Linked DNA regions of Drosophila melanogaster. The protein of the gene in region 1 interacts with the protein of each later gene in a pairwise test. Each region holds a gene or a part of one and is shown on either strand. Other genes may lie near its edges.

What was found.
Region 2: the proteins of Der-2 (region 1) and Herp interact in a two-hybrid assay, tested with the Drosophila melanogaster proteins (one large-scale study listed by BioGRID).

Annotation. Positions count from the first base shown.
Region 1 is NT_033777.3:16,480,811-16,487,224, reverse strand, and holds Der-2 (Derlin-2), read left to right. Parts: upstream 1-3,001; 5' UTR 3,002-3,270; coding exon 3,271-3,357; intron 3,358-3,441; coding exon 3,442-3,962; intron 3,963-4,018; coding exon 4,019-4,196; 3' UTR 4,197-4,531; downstream 4,532-6,414. Other genes in the region: Cad89D (cadherin 89D), read left to right, coding at 210-278, 392-628, 1,293-1,598, 1,682-1,837, 1,934-2,137, 2,202-2,526; Sdhaf3 (succinate dehydrogenase assembly factor 3), read left to right, coding at 4,864-4,945, 5,012-5,121, 5,178-5,348; Dhfr (dihydrofolate reductase), read right to left, coding at 5,366-5,834, 5,885-5,964; Gyc89Db (guanylyl cyclase at 89Db), read right to left, coding at 6,389-6,414.
Region 2 is NT_033779.5:7,794,155-7,802,968, reverse strand, and holds Herp (Homocysteine-induced endoplasmic reticulum protein), read left to right. Parts: upstream 1-2,910; 5' UTR 2,911-3,456; coding exon 3,457-3,660; intron 3,661-4,345; coding exon 4,346-4,806; intron 4,807-5,236; coding exon 5,237-5,572; intron 5,573-5,642; coding exon 5,643-6,039; 3' UTR 6,040-6,655; downstream 6,656-8,814. Other genes in the region: Cdc14 (cell division cycle 14), read left to right, coding at 1-482; r2d2, read right to left, coding at 1,458-2,248, 2,322-2,466; LKRSDH (lysine ketoglutarate reductase/saccharopine dehydrogenase), read left to right, coding at 7,135-7,194, 7,316-7,459, 8,201-8,377, 8,443-8,814.

The DNA.
Region 1 (6,414 bases):
CGATAACTTGCCAACAATCCGTTCATGCTTTCTAACCAATTATTTTAAGTACCAGATACAGATACAAGTTATAGGTATAGGTTTAAACTCTCATATTTGATTATTATGTGCAGCTTTTGACCGCATTGCATAACATAATTGGCCATTAGTTGCCATCAAAACACTGCAGTGTCATCACCTAACAGGTTCTCTACCCTCTCCATTTGCAGCACCAATGCCTATATCTATGCCGTCGATCCGCACACGAATTCCATTATGGAAATGGAGCAACTGCAGGAGTAAGTTTTCTCCCATTCCCCACACCGACTCCCTTCCCGGCCCCGGGCGGCATCTAAAATCGATTGACCCAGAACTGCCATGCGAATTAATGGCCTTGAATTGCTTCTTTCAGCGCCCTGGCTGGCCTCCAACTGGACGCACTGCAACTGCAGCAGCAGAAACTCGACGGCGGCAAGCCCATGCCCCGCATCCTCGAGCTGGCCGAGTTTGGGCAGTTGGCCCGACCTGCACACGCCTCCGCGTCCAGTTTCATGGGAGGATTGGAGTTTGTGACGGTGGTTCTGCTTGCGCTGATCAGCCTGGGTGCACTGATAGCCGCCTGCTGCTACGTATGCATGCGCCAAAAACGGTATGAATGACGAGTGCACGAGTGTCATGCAAGTGCAACTGCAACTGCAACCGAAAGACTGCTTACTGGGCGCTCAAATGTAGCTCATAGATGCATTTCATGTTAGCCATAGTTTTAGCCTAAGCTAAAGGCCCGATAATAAATCTTAAGTCAATTGCAAACGTTGTTGTTGCTGCCGCTGCTGCTGTTGGTGTGTTTGTTGCTGCTGCTGCTGCTGCTGCTGCTGCTACTGCTAATGGCCATGATCGTGGCCAAGTTGCTTGATGCCACTGAGTCTGCATAAACCGGCTGGCATTGGGCCTTTCCTGTCCGATTAAATTATAACGGTAAAAAGCAACAAACACAACATCAAATGCAACAATGCAGCAATAGCAACTTGAGGCAATTAGATGAAGATCGTGTGACATCGCTGCAACTACATCCCAAATGGGAAAGCCAATCAAATGGGATGTCATCTCATCAGCTCAGCTCATCCTGCACAGAGAAAAATAAATAATATGTTCGAAGTTATGTTGTTATATTGAAAGGAAACTACGATCAGGTTTAACTATAAATTTACATATTGAAAATGAAAACAAGTAACTATACTAGAGCTTAATGATGATTTAAACGATTGATATGAGCCGTCTAAAACTACTACAAATTCTTCCCGTGTCTCTTGCAGACGTCTCTGGTCTCAGCGTGATTTCTCCGCCTCCGATGCCGGTCTCACCTATACCATCGCTGGCATCGGATCTCCTCGTGGCCAGAAGCAGCGCCGTCAGCGGCAGCAGCGGCACACACAGCGCTGTAGCAAGGGCAGCACGGGCAGCCAACGACCCACCAGTGCCTTCATGCCCGAGTCCGTCTGCTCCTCGGCCCAAACGCAGTCTACGGCCACCGCCACCGAGAAACTGGAGCAGCAGCTGCACCATCACCACCAGCAGCAGGCGATGGCCACACAGCAGCAGCATCATCAGTACCTGAACGAGTGAGTGAATGGCCGTGGTCAAGACCGCGTCTAGTCAAACGTGTTTCCATTCTGGACACTAATTGCCATCATCCCCGAAACAGGCAACAGCGACAGCAAAAGCGCGAGTACATAGACGTTCCTCTTCCCAAGTCCATTGCCAAGGCTGCGGCGGTGACGAGTGGGGGCGATGGAGCTGTGGGCGTCGGGAGCACTCCGTTCGTACTGAAGTACAATGCCTGTCAGCCCGTTAACAATCTGTAAGTCTATAGATTATATTTAATATGGTTTCAAATTTGGCACAATTGTTATGAACTAGACTTAACATACTAAACTGCAACCTATCATCACAACAGTAACAATTACGAAACCTCGCTGTTCTCACTTCACTCGACGGGCCAGGACTCTGGTGTGGAGTTCCTGAGCAGCCGCGAGCTGTACGAGACCTCGCCGGATTCCTTTCAGCACGGAGGCTCTAAGCGCGGCAACAACACGGAAGTTTTATGCCCCAGACATGCGAAGGCCCACTTGGAGCTGCGCCAGCCAAATACGGACAGCAGGTGGGTAGAAGAGTGTGCTTTATTTCGGATTGCCTTCTTAACATTTGAAATCTCATTGCAACAGTGACACCTATGAGGACTCTCTGAAGACGGACGAGCCACTGGTGGCGCATAACTGTCGCAGTGCCAATTGTGAGCACCGCCAGCACCAGCAGCACCCCAGTCACCATCCCCACTACCAGAACACGCGGTTCGAGAAGCGCTCCTGCGTGCGCCACTCCTTCTCCGGGGTCAAGGACGACCTCATGCAGCAGTCACCGCAGATTTCACTGCGTCCCCGGGGCCACGCCCTCCGCAACTCGATGAATGACCTGGAGCAGCGGCTGCACAACCTGGAGCAGTCCTTTCGCCGCCCGCTCGAATTTAGCAAATCTAATTCATTGTTTTAGTTCATTTTTTAGCTAGACAAAACGCAGTGCAATTTTTAGTGTAGTCAACCTAGAATAGACTTTAGATATTAAGAAACAAGTGCAATAAATTTGAGAGATGTTACAATTAATATAGCCCCCAACTCTGAAAAAGAAAGTGATATATTTGAAATCCGGGAAAATCAATTGAGCAGTAGAAAAACTCAAAAGAAAATTTGATTAATTTCCAGTTTAAGTATAAACCCATTGAAGATATGGAAATACAATATATAATAGTATAGAAATTCATTCTGATCATATAGTAGCTTATGGATTTCAAAGTGAAAATCATATTGAACTTATCTGTTATTATAAATATTATTTCCATTCAAATATTGGATGAACTACTCTTCGATAGACGACACAATCTTAAGTTCTTCCTTCTGTTAACCACATAAATAAAATTAATTTAAAGTTTCGTGTCACGATTACGGCTTATCGATATCTGGCGCCAGTGTCACTAGTATTTGTACCATCACTAACCTTGGTCATAAAAATAAAAGCTAGCGTTCCATTTATTTTCCATCGCCCGAGCGCTGTTCCCTATCCATTAACACGTCTCAATCCTGGAGTGCACAACATCCGGTGAGAGGACTACCAAAAAGAGATAGTCCGCCGCTGGTTGTAGGTGAATAAACAGTGAAGAAGCGAAGAGTCCAAAGGATACAATCGCAACCCACTTGCCAAGCTGCACACTTTGAGTCCAACGTTGGAGGAGGAGCCGCCATGAATGCCCTGCGGCAGTTCTACCTGGAGATCCCGGTGGTCACACGAGCCTACACCACGGTCTGCGTGCTGACCACCTTGGCGGTGGTAAGTGTATCCCGTAGTGCGTTCTAAATCGCGGATGACGTGTACGTGTATTATCTTCGATTATATTTTTTGCCAACTTTTAAGCACCTGGACCTGGTGTCGCCGCTGCAGCTCTACTTCAATCCCACGCTGATTGTGCGCAAGTTCCAGATCTGGCGCTTGGCCACCACATTCCTGTACTTTGGCACAATAGGCATCAGTTTCTTTTTCAATATGGTGTTTACATATCGATATTGTCGAATGTTGGAGGACGGATCTTTCCGCGGACGCAGCTCCGACTTTGTCATGATGTTCATCTTTGGCGGCGTGCTAATGACCTTCTTCGGAATCTTCGTCAACCTGTTGTTCCTGGGCCAGGCCTTCACATTAATGCTGGTCTATGTGTGGTCACGACGCAATCCACTGGTGCCAATGAATTTCTTCGGGGTGCTTAACTTCCAGGCGCCGTACCTTCCGTGGGTGCTCCTCTGCTGCTCCATGATTCTGGGAAACACCGTGTGGGTGGATGTCATCGGCATGGGTGTTGGCCACATCTACTACGTGCTGGAGGACGTCTATCCTACACTGTCCAACGGCTACAGACTGATCAAAACCCCCTACTTTTTGTGAGTTTACTTTGAATTGGGATATAACTTTTGCAATAACGACTTGTTGTCCTTAGGAAACGTCTCTTCAATGAGCACATCGAACGCAACTTCCAGGCGGCTGCTGAGGATCGACCTGGCGGATTTCCTTGGGGCGGAGAGGGTCAGCCCCTGCTACCGGAAGAGATTGCGGCTGATGGACAGGATGAGGAGCCAGCGAATCGAGCGGCGCCTGTTGCTGCCGCGCCGCAATAGCAAAACTAGAAAACTTGATTGTTAAAACGTTCTTCTGTTCAAAACGACGACGATGACAACAATGTTGTGTACCCTCCGCCACCTTCTGTTTGGTGCTTGGTGTAATTAGGCGTATAGTAGTGAGAGAAAGGCGTGCAATAGTTAGCCAAAGTTGGTGCAGAGCGTGTGTGTATGTCATTTATTGGTTTGTTTTCTGAAACAGAGCTCATTTTCCATACGAGATGTTCTTTTATTTATAATTTACCCCCAAGGGATGAATCCACGACAGATTGAACCTACACTGCACATGTGATGATTATATATATACAAACCATGCCACAAATAAATCATTATATAAAAAGACCTGCAGTTTTAAAATGCTTGAAATCGCTTGGGGATTGATAAAAAAAAACCATTTGAAAAAAACATTTTCTTTTTACATTATTTGGTTTGCGGAAGTGTGGTTCAATTCGAAGTGCCTAACTTAAATATAATATGAAAATAGCATTGAACTTTTAAAGGTGACAATTCAAATGCGCGCCAAACTTTTAATACGTTGCCACCTGCCAACTCAATTTGACGTTAGCCAACACTGGCTGCGACAAAACAGTTGTTATTCGCTCGTATTTAGTTTTTAGCCGGCTGCTAAATAGTATAGTATTAGTATGTTATATGATATGAACTCAGGATGTCCAGAATTTTGATGAGCCAACTGACCCACCCTCAGAGGGTCCGACTGCTGTACAAAACGATCTTGCGACTGCACAGAGGTAAGATGAAAAATTCCCTATTACTATAAATTGCATGCATTTCAACTAAACTTCTGTACTCCGTAGGACTTCCAGCGGAACTTCGTGCTCTGGGCGATAACTATGTGCGGGACGAGTTCCGGCGACACCTCAAGTGCAATCCCATGGAGGCACAGCTCTTTATGACAGAGTGGGCCGTAAGTTTTACGTAATAAACAAAAAGGCGCCATACTAAGCAAATCTTCCATTGCAGCGATATGCGTCCACAATCACCCAACAACTAGGGATTCGGGGCAAGCCCAAGGGAGAGCTGGGCGAAGAGATTGACCCCAAGACTGTAGAAATGTTGAAAGACGACCAAGTAGTCCAACTATACGAGCTGATGCTGGCGGCCAAGGGAGTAGAAGATGCGCAAGGCAAATAAATCAGTGTATTATTTTATTATGAGTGTTTCTCCAAAATCTTGTACTCGAATTTAATGCCATTCTCCTCCTGCACACCCAGTGGCATGTCGGAATCGGGCGCGACCTCTCGAAAGCTGTCAGGGATCGCGGGGAAAAAGGTGTCGCAATCGAACTTCTGCATTATTTTGGTAATGTACAGCCGGTGACACCTTGGCGAGGCCATGGCCTCCTCGTAGACTCCACTACCGCCCACAATCCAAATGTTCTCCACTTCGTTCTGCTCCTCAAGGATCTTCATGGCCGTCTCGAGATTGGGGCACAATAGTACTCCCTTGGGCAGATCACTTTCCTGAAGTGTGGTGCTCAGCACTATGTTCAGCCGATCGGGAAGAGGCCTCTTGCTTTCCGGCACTCCGAAGTAGGTTTTCCTGCCCATTACCACGGCATTTTGCTTGGTGGGATCACTTGTTCGCTTGGTGGTGCGGCTGAAGTACTTCAGCTCAGATCTGATGGTACAAAAGCTTTAGCTGCGGTTCAATCCTTGTTACCAACTTACTTAATGCGCCATGGTAGATCGCCTCTGATGCCGATTCCGAAATTCTCGCAAACTGCCACGATTAAATTGAATCGAAGCATCCTTAATCCTTACTGAGAAAGCATAAGCTTGAAAATTATCTTCCAAGCTATAAAATTCAAACAGCTGATCAAGGCAATGCTGGAACCGATTTCGATAGCTTCGATTACTTACCTATTATCGAAACACGCTTATGAAGATCTTAGTCAGATTTCAGGTTGGTTTCGCGCCACTCCCACGAAAACAATATTTCTAGATACAATGTGTCTTGAATTTATTTTTATAGTGATCCACATATACTTTACAGGGGATTAAAAGTTCGTTAACTATTACCAAAAAGTTATTAGATACATTAGATATAAGAGGTTTTCGAGCCTGATTATTTCCAAAGGGTTACAAGATTTTCTGTCTCAAAATATGTTTTTTATATTTCAATACCATAGTGGTGATATTCCTGGATTTTCCAAGACAAACAAGTCTCCAGTTCTACTCTGGTCCCTCCAAAAGCCAGT
Region 2 (8,814 bases), on another chromosome or scaffold:
CCAAGCGAAACAAGCGATCGCTGAGCTCCACACGCCTGGACAAGGACAAGAGCGACGAGTACAACACAAAGCTGTTGAGGAAGACGGCGGCGGCAGCTGCTGCAGCGGCCACAGCAGCATCAGCTGTAGCCAACAGCACATCGATCAACGCCACCCACGCCACAAACGCCTCCACCACCAGCAGCATGAACAACAATTGCAAGTACAACAGCTGCAGCAGCAGCAACAGCGGCAGCTTCAAGCTTTCCCGGCGCCTTTTCGGTGAGTCCGGCTCCTCAGCATCGACGTCCGCCTCAAATTCGGGTATTCCCACACCCACGGCGCCGCCCTCCTCCAGCCAGTGGCAACAGCACCTGGTACGCGGTGTGAGTCGTGCGTCCAGCGAAAAGGATCGGGATCGGGAGCGACAGCAACAACAACAACAACAGTCTCTGGACCATCAACAATCCAATCTCAAGCTGCGCAAGAAGATTAGCTATTGAACACTAATCATATATTGTTTCCTTTAGTTGTGTAAATATTATTTTGACTAGTAAATTGAACGTTTCCCGATGAGATGATGAGATTGATGTGGCGAATGCAATGATTTTTTAGATATTCCAATGCAATCAAATTTGGTGATTGATTAGGAAATTATTTGCAATAACAATCTCATTTATACACTTACATTTTTTTTTAGGAAAACATTTCAAATTGTTATGGATTTGTTATTTAACATATTGTACTAATATAAGATAACCCATTAAAAGGCAAGCAATTGACATTGAAATTGTTAATACATTGTTGAAAGTTTTTAAGAGGAACGCTTAGTTTTCATTTTAGCATTGTGTTGTAAAAATAAAATCAAAAATGCTGAAGACTACGAAGCACTTTATTTATTTTAGACTGAAACCCCTTTTATTCGTATAAAAGTTGTACTTGTAAAAAAAAAAAGAAATGCAGCATTTTTACCATTTTTTTCCGTCAAATTATTTAAAATATTTGTTTCAAGTAAGTCTTTGATTACTAGCATTCCTTTTAAAGGCAAATGTTCAGATTTTTAATTTCACTGTGCAATACATATTTATGTAAATTGCTTCAAATATTTTATAATCAGTTGTTGCAAACAATAAGTTCGGACCGTATAAATACTTTACATTTTAATAGAATTAACATTGGTATTGGCATCGAAAAGTAATTAATAATATCATTATGTTATACCTTCTCGAAAGTAAAAGTTGTTGTACCCACTCCCCTTACTTATTTCCTTGGATTTTTTACACCTATCTCAATCGTGTACAAAGTTAACATAGATGTTTACTAAAAGACCTTGAAAATAATTTTTTTATGTTTCCCACCTACAAATTGGTGGAGATTGTATTAATCGTAAGATTAAATGAAATATGTGCATTCTAGAGTGTAAATAAAACGAGTTTACTTAGTTTTAAGCTAGAATAGTTGAATAAATGTTATACGCATTAAATCAACATGGTGCGAAAATAGTCTATTATATGGTCGTAGATATCGGTCTCCTTTGCCATAAGGACCACGTCGAATGCACAATTAAGCTCGACGCTAAGCAAGGGAACCAACGATGAAGATTCCACTTCACTGATTTTGGGTGTTATCTTTAAAGAGCTCATTACGTCCATAGCCTTATCCTTGGAGCTCTCGTATTCATCTGAATTGATGGCCTCAATGGCCTCCTTTTTCAGGGTAGGATAGAAGTTCTTGAAGTAGTTGTGTCGGTCGCAGAGCCGCATGCCTGTATGGTCTACGCTCCCGGCTTCCTTCAACTCCCAGTAGGTGGTAAATTTCTTTCTGCGCAATGCCTCCAATTCCTCCATAGATTCTTCCATATCAACAACTTTCAATTTGCTTGTGCTCGCTACTTGCATTTGATCCGGACGCAAATTGTCCGAATTGCTGGAGATTAAGGCCAGCATTTCAATGGCCGCTCGCTGACGGGCATCCTTCTTTTTGTCCGACTTTCCGTAGCGTACTATGGAGGCCACGGAGCAACAGGCCACGAATTCCGGGGCGCTCGGGGTGCCGCTTTGCTGCACTACCTCAATGCAGGGCAGTGGCATCTCGCGGCGGACGCAGTAGTCACGCAGCTCCTTCACCATGTCCCGGTTGAGGTTAGTCAGTTCCTCATCCAGATCACCCACAGTCGAATCCTTCATCAAGCCGTGTATGCCGGGCAGCAGTTGGATTTTACGCAAGATATTGCTGGCAGCCAGGTGTTTGGCATCACGCTTCGAACGCCCTAGAATTGGATAAATATGTGGCGGTTTAGATACGAATATAAATAGTGGTTGAGATTTGTAATTTAAATTTACCATTTCCAAGGGCCTCTATCTCCAATAGTTCAACTTTACAGACGTACCCTCCGTCTTCGCCGGGAATAAAACTGTATGTTGGTAGATTAATCTGTGTCCGGGCACAAAACTCCTGTAGAGCAGATACGGCTGACTTGTTATCCATGAGTTCAAGGGGAAAAGGCACGTCGGACGTGCTAACATTCAACAGAATATAACCATATATATAATTTATAAAATATCTAAAGCACTGCAATGTTATTAGAGATGGCACGCGAATCACGAAGCGGCAACGATAGAATAGGAAATCTTGACGAAGACATCTGTAAATGAATTATTTTATGCCGCTTTGTCAAAAAAATATTTTCACGAAATAGTATTGAATTCGTAATTCGAATACGAAAACAGCGGCAAACCTTCTTAACTTTTTTACTAAGGAGCAAATGCATTTTATATGCTATTCGGTGTTTTCATTCAAAGTTCAACGTCTGAAGTGTTATACATAATCGACACGTCACGATGACGCGAGTTGGCATCCCCGTAAGTCAAGGCAACCCTGTTGCGTAGTATATGGCATTAACAAGTGTTGCTGTCAGTGATGAGCAAAATCCACAACTGCAAATAACTAGATACCGTATATTTTTCAAAGGAATAAATTCTAAAAACACTAAAACCAAGTGTTTGAGCAACGACTTTAATATTTTCCAACTGTGTACTTAAATTGCCACATCCCACACACTTTGGAAAATCAATTCTCAGCTGTTTGTGCAACCTGCGACTTAAAAATACCTGCTACTCGCGGCAGCCCTGTGACCGACGCTCATCACTTGCCACAGGTCAGAACCAAATGAAGAGTAGTTTTTGATCAACTGCGGAACGTTTACTGCGTTTCATAATCAATAACTCTGTGCTGCGAGCAAAACACCACAGAACGAACAGCTGTTGAAAACCAAACAATAGCATAATACCAAATTAAATGTCAAATTCAGAATAAACTATTTCTCGAAAATACGCAGAGAGCAGAGCGGAGTAGGAAGTGAGAAACAGTGGCTGCGTAAAAAGTGTCCCCGCTAGCGCAGCAAAAACCCATCACCGATCTTCGTATCGCGGTCATTAATTAGCAATAGAAAGTTCTCCGATTCGCGGGGTCAGCCAGATGGAGGAGAACGCCGCCCCACCCGCAGCCGCAACAGCCGCGGGCTGCGATGCCGCCACCCGTCAAAAGAATCCGGAAACCAGTGTCCGGCTGCTCATCAAGTCGTCCAACCAGCAGTATGAGGATCTCAATGTGGACTCCGATCTCTGCTGGACGGTCCAGAGGCTGAAGAAGCACCTATCTCTTATCTATCCTGGCAAACCGGTGGGTTATCGAGTTGGTTCCCCCCCTTGTTATCGTATAGGTAGAAAACTGGCCAGGAGCCCCATTATCTTATCGAGAAGTTTGTTATTGTTTATCATCTTCGTTTAGGATTCATAGGTGTGTCGGTTCCCAAAGCTATTTGCGTCTTAGTCGCAAGTACACGTCAGTGGATTGCTCCTCTAAATTATAGTCGCCGTCATGCACTTGCGTCATGCACTTGGTCTATGCCAAATCGATGGGTCGGAACTGGGAACTGGGATTAATTTGGTTACGGTTAGAAAGTGATAAGATTTTTGGACATATTCACGCTCCACTCATGTGCCAAGTTTTTTATGTACATATGTACATCCCACATATCAATATCACTGATATATACTAAAGATTCAGATCATTGCAGGCAGAAAAAATACATTAGCACTCTTTATTTCCAGAGCAAATCAAGTAGAATTTATAAAAATTTATTTAGTTTCAAGTATCATTTCCATAAAGTCAACTGACAAGTACAAGTTGTTATCTCTTGGAGTGTGCAAATAAATAGATTTAGGCACTGTTTGATAGTATAAATTTCGCGCGGAGGTAAAAGCAACAATGAGTTATCTCTAGGTTCCCTCTGAATACCTATAATGTGAAATTTTATGTTTTATGTTTTGACCACTATAACTATTTCTTTCCATTTTTTCTGTAGTTAATCCAGGACCAGAAACTTATTTACTCGGGCAAGCTATTAGATGACTCCCAAAAGATATCTGAGGTGATACGCAGCTACAAGGATGTCTACCAACAGCACCACATATTTCACTTGGTGTGTGCCAGCAAGCAAGTGATAAGGCCGGCTGCCAAAGCCCCCACTGTTCCGCAGAAGGATGCGGTTCCAGCTGGGCCCGAGGTCACTGGGAATGCAAATGAGCTGCGACAACGTCATGCTCCACATCAGCAGCAGGCACAGCAGGGCAACGCTGGACCACACGTGACGGGTGACATCGGTTTGGCCAATCCCTGGACACACTTCTGGCAGCAGAGCCAGGGAGCAGCACCTGCTGCCAATGCCAGTGCCAGTCCCCATGCTTTGTTCCAGCAGCAGGCGCTCATCTACAACGCCTGGATGCAGCAGGCTTACGCGCAGTACATGCAGCAGTTGACTCTACGGTAAGTGAACAGAACCAGAAGGCTAAAGGAACACACTTGATCCAACAATTAATTCACTGATATCAGAAGCGAGCGAATCAAATTACACAGAGCTCGATAGCGAATACATTTTATTTTTCTCAGAAGGAGAAACACTTGTATTTAGTCACTCTTAAGAGGTACTTTATTATTCAAGTGAGATCAAAATGCTGTTTTAGCATTTTTAAAGTTGTTTCTTGATTATTTATAATCTTTTTATTATTTTGGTTATCAGGCGTGCTAAAATTGTAGTATACTTGTATGGCCACGATTACAGTTAAATAATATAATTTTGGGGTCGCTCCCGAAGAATTTATTGTGCGCAATTAAGTTTTGCATGTAAACGAACAATTATTTTCTATAATATTGAATGCTATGATTCTTACACAACAATCTTATATTATACCCACAGTTCTACGTTGCCCGGTTCGAACCAATCTGGCTTGCCGCCACCGACTCAACCCCTGTTGCCCTCAGTCCCACTGATTGCTGGGCGAAACTTCGGGGAGGTACAACAAGTGGCAGGAGCAGCTGCTGCCCCAGCGGCACAGGTACCTGCTGATCCTCAGATTAATGGAGCGCCGCAGAACAGAAATTTTCCCAACATTCAGGAGGAACCGGAAATGCACGACTGGCTGGATAGTTTCTTTAGCTTTACGCGATTGGCCATTTTTGTGACTGTCCTGTACTTTAACTCCTCAGCGCTGCGTTGTTTACTGGTGGTGCTCATCGCGGGTGCGATTTATCTGTAAGTACATTTCCTCTTTGATTCGAATTGAAAAGTTTACACATATATTGAAATTATAATTGTTTGTTAGATATCACATTGGTGTCCTTCGACGTCGCCGCGAGCGGAACAATAACAACATAAATCGTAACAATAATGCTGGCGATGCGGCCGCCTTTGCTGCAGTGCAGCAAATTCAGCGCATGATGGATGCGGCCGTGCAGCGGGAGAACAACGATCCCCAGGCGGCCAATGAGCCTGGTGCAGTGCCAGCGGCTGGACCTGCTGCTGCTGGTGAACAAGATGCAATCGATGCACCTCCGGCTGGGGCTCCCGTTGCTCCAGCATCCGCTGCTAATCCAGAACCGACTGACGTTTCCGCGGAAGCTGTGGAACCACCAAATGCCAATAATTCTGTGATTTCCGTTGTGCGCACCTTTGTCATCACGTTCTTCACCTCGCTGCTGCCCGAGGCGCCGGCGCTCTAGAGGATCGAACTGTACGTTATACAGAGGGACGTGTTTGACCATCCACAAACCAGCTTTACAGCTTTACGGCTTTCCTCTTTTAAAACTCCCATAATCAAACTGTTATTCCGTTTTCCTTTTGAGTTTTGTGCATACCTGAGAATGTAGCAAAAACAAACAATTTGTTTTACTAGCTGTAATAATCATGTATATTTATTTCCGAGTGTTAGCCAAGTTACAACATGGTGACTGCTGCCTCAATAGCTCGTAGAATTTTAGATATCTAAGAACGTACTCTGTTTTTGATGTGAATAGTAGAATGTTTATAATCTGCACTGCAATCTGTGCTAGAGACGAACCTATGAAACCAAGATGCAATTAAAATAAAACGTATGCTTTAACACCAAAAACCGAAATCGAAAAGTGGTGTTTACAAGGTGCAATTTTATCTATAAAAAATATATCTACGATTTAAATGAAGAACATACTGTTTTTAAATGTTTTCAACATCATTGGCATTGTTTTTAAAATCTTAAAAGAATCTTTAATTTAATAACATATAGACATATGAACATATGCATAGACACATATTGACTATTAAAAAATATATTTTTAAAATTTAAAATGTTATTATTTTAAACAATTTTGAATGATTCAATAAGGAAATAATCGGTTTTTTCCCGAAAATTTGTATAAGAATTGCATTGTGTAAACAGCGCTTGAGGAATTTTCCCCGGACGATTCTCTTAATTCTTAGAAACTTCTCTTATCAAAGTGGAAAATTTTCAGCCGAAAATCGAACGGAGATCCGGATTCCCTCACGGGTAAGTGACAATCACCAGCAGCTCGCTCTTTTTGCCCAGCTAACGCACAAAATTGGTTTCTTTTAGCTGCGATGAGATGCATGGAGAGCACGGCTTATCGCTGGATTTACGACTGGGTCCAACTGCTGATTAGAGGCTGTTTCGCTGACTGCCTCCATCGATGCCTTTAGAAGAGTACCAGAGCTCGGAGCCAACGGATCGGATCATTCCACTCAGGCCAAGAATAAGCACAACGGTTACAATTAAATTCGCACTTCATCTGCTCGAACTGATCCCACAAAGCTGCCGAAACATGTGGCGAGTGATTCAACTGCGCGCAACAATCGCGCATCCGTTCACCAGACAACGTCATGTGAGTTGATTCAACTCCCCAATTGCAGCCACATTGAATAATCGCATTCATACGAATGTAAAAGATATTAATTTTTAAAATATATATACTAAATAAATATCCCAATCTTTTGCTCTTTCAGAGTCGAGTGATTGCCATTCGGCGAGAGGATCAGTCGGTGTGGGAGCGACGAGCTCCGTTTGGACCAACCCACGTCCAGAAGTTGGTCAAGCAGAATGTCAAGGTCATAGTGCAGCCGTCCAATCGTCGTGCCTACCCCATGCAGGTGAGCTCAATTTGAAATTAAAATTTCGTCACATTATCCATAGGTTGTAACTTTCCATGGCCAGTTGGCAACGGATTTATTGAGTCTGCAGGGCTAATCGCCCATGGAAATCATATCGGTCGGTAGTCGTCAGGGCAACAAGTACGCGTGTATAGGTAGCATAGTATGGTATTTATATGGTATGGAGGCACACACGCCCCCCAAGTGCTGCATCATAAATATAAACTCGGATGATAAGCCTCCATGGAGCTCTAAATTTGGCAATTGGCCCGGCCTTGAAATCGAGTACAAAACAAACGACGAGGAGAGGAAAAACAATGGGAAGCAAAGCTTATCGTTTGCAGCAATGATTTCAAGGAATCTATATAATGTATTAAGGTGATTTTTAGAGTTGATAACATTTTCAAAGGGTCACGTGAGAAAGAACTAAACTAACTAAAATAATTTTTGAAGAAGGTAAAGCACTTAATTTAAAGTACCCCACTGACACACCCCAACAGTAAATGCAATTACAAAACGATTAGCAAATGGTACTGGAAAAAATTAGAAAACCTAATCAGATTTAATTAAGTTGAGGGGCAAGGGGATTAAATGTTTCACACGTGTATAGTACAATCATCATCTTTCGCCTGATGCATTGTAAAGATTACCACGTAGCAGGATGAATAGAATAGATAAGCGGGGCACTTAACTAAATAAAAACAAATAATAACATTGAGTTGATTTGTTTTTCCGGAACAGGCCTACATGCAGGCTGGAGCTCATATTCAGGAGGACATCAGTGATGCTTCGGTGATATTCGGAGTGAAACAGGTGCCCATAGATGCACTGATTCCTGGGAAGACCTACTGCTTCTTTTCGCACACGATTAAAGCGCAGGAATCAAATATGCCGCTTTTGGATGCTATTTTGGAGAAGGTTCCTATCACACATAAGAGTTAAATGAAGTTTTTCATATTATATTGCCACTGTTTTATCCATAGAAAATTCGGCTCATCGACTATGAGCGAATCATCGACGAACGCGGAGCACGACAGGTGGCCTTTGGCAAATATGCCGGAGTGGCTGGCATGGTGAACATCCTGCACGGCATTGGACTGCGTCTTTTGGCCCTGGGACATCATACACCATTCATGCACATTGGACCCGCTCATAACTATCGCAATTCCTCGATGGCTCGCCAGGCAATCCGGGATTGTGGCTACGAGATCTCGCTTGGCATGATGCCCAAGTCCATTGGACCACTTACATTTGTGTTCACTGGCTCTGGAAATGTTTCCCAAGGTGCCCAGGAGGTGTTCTCCGAGCTGCCCATTGAGTATGTTCCACCGGAGATGCTACGCAAGGTGGCCGAA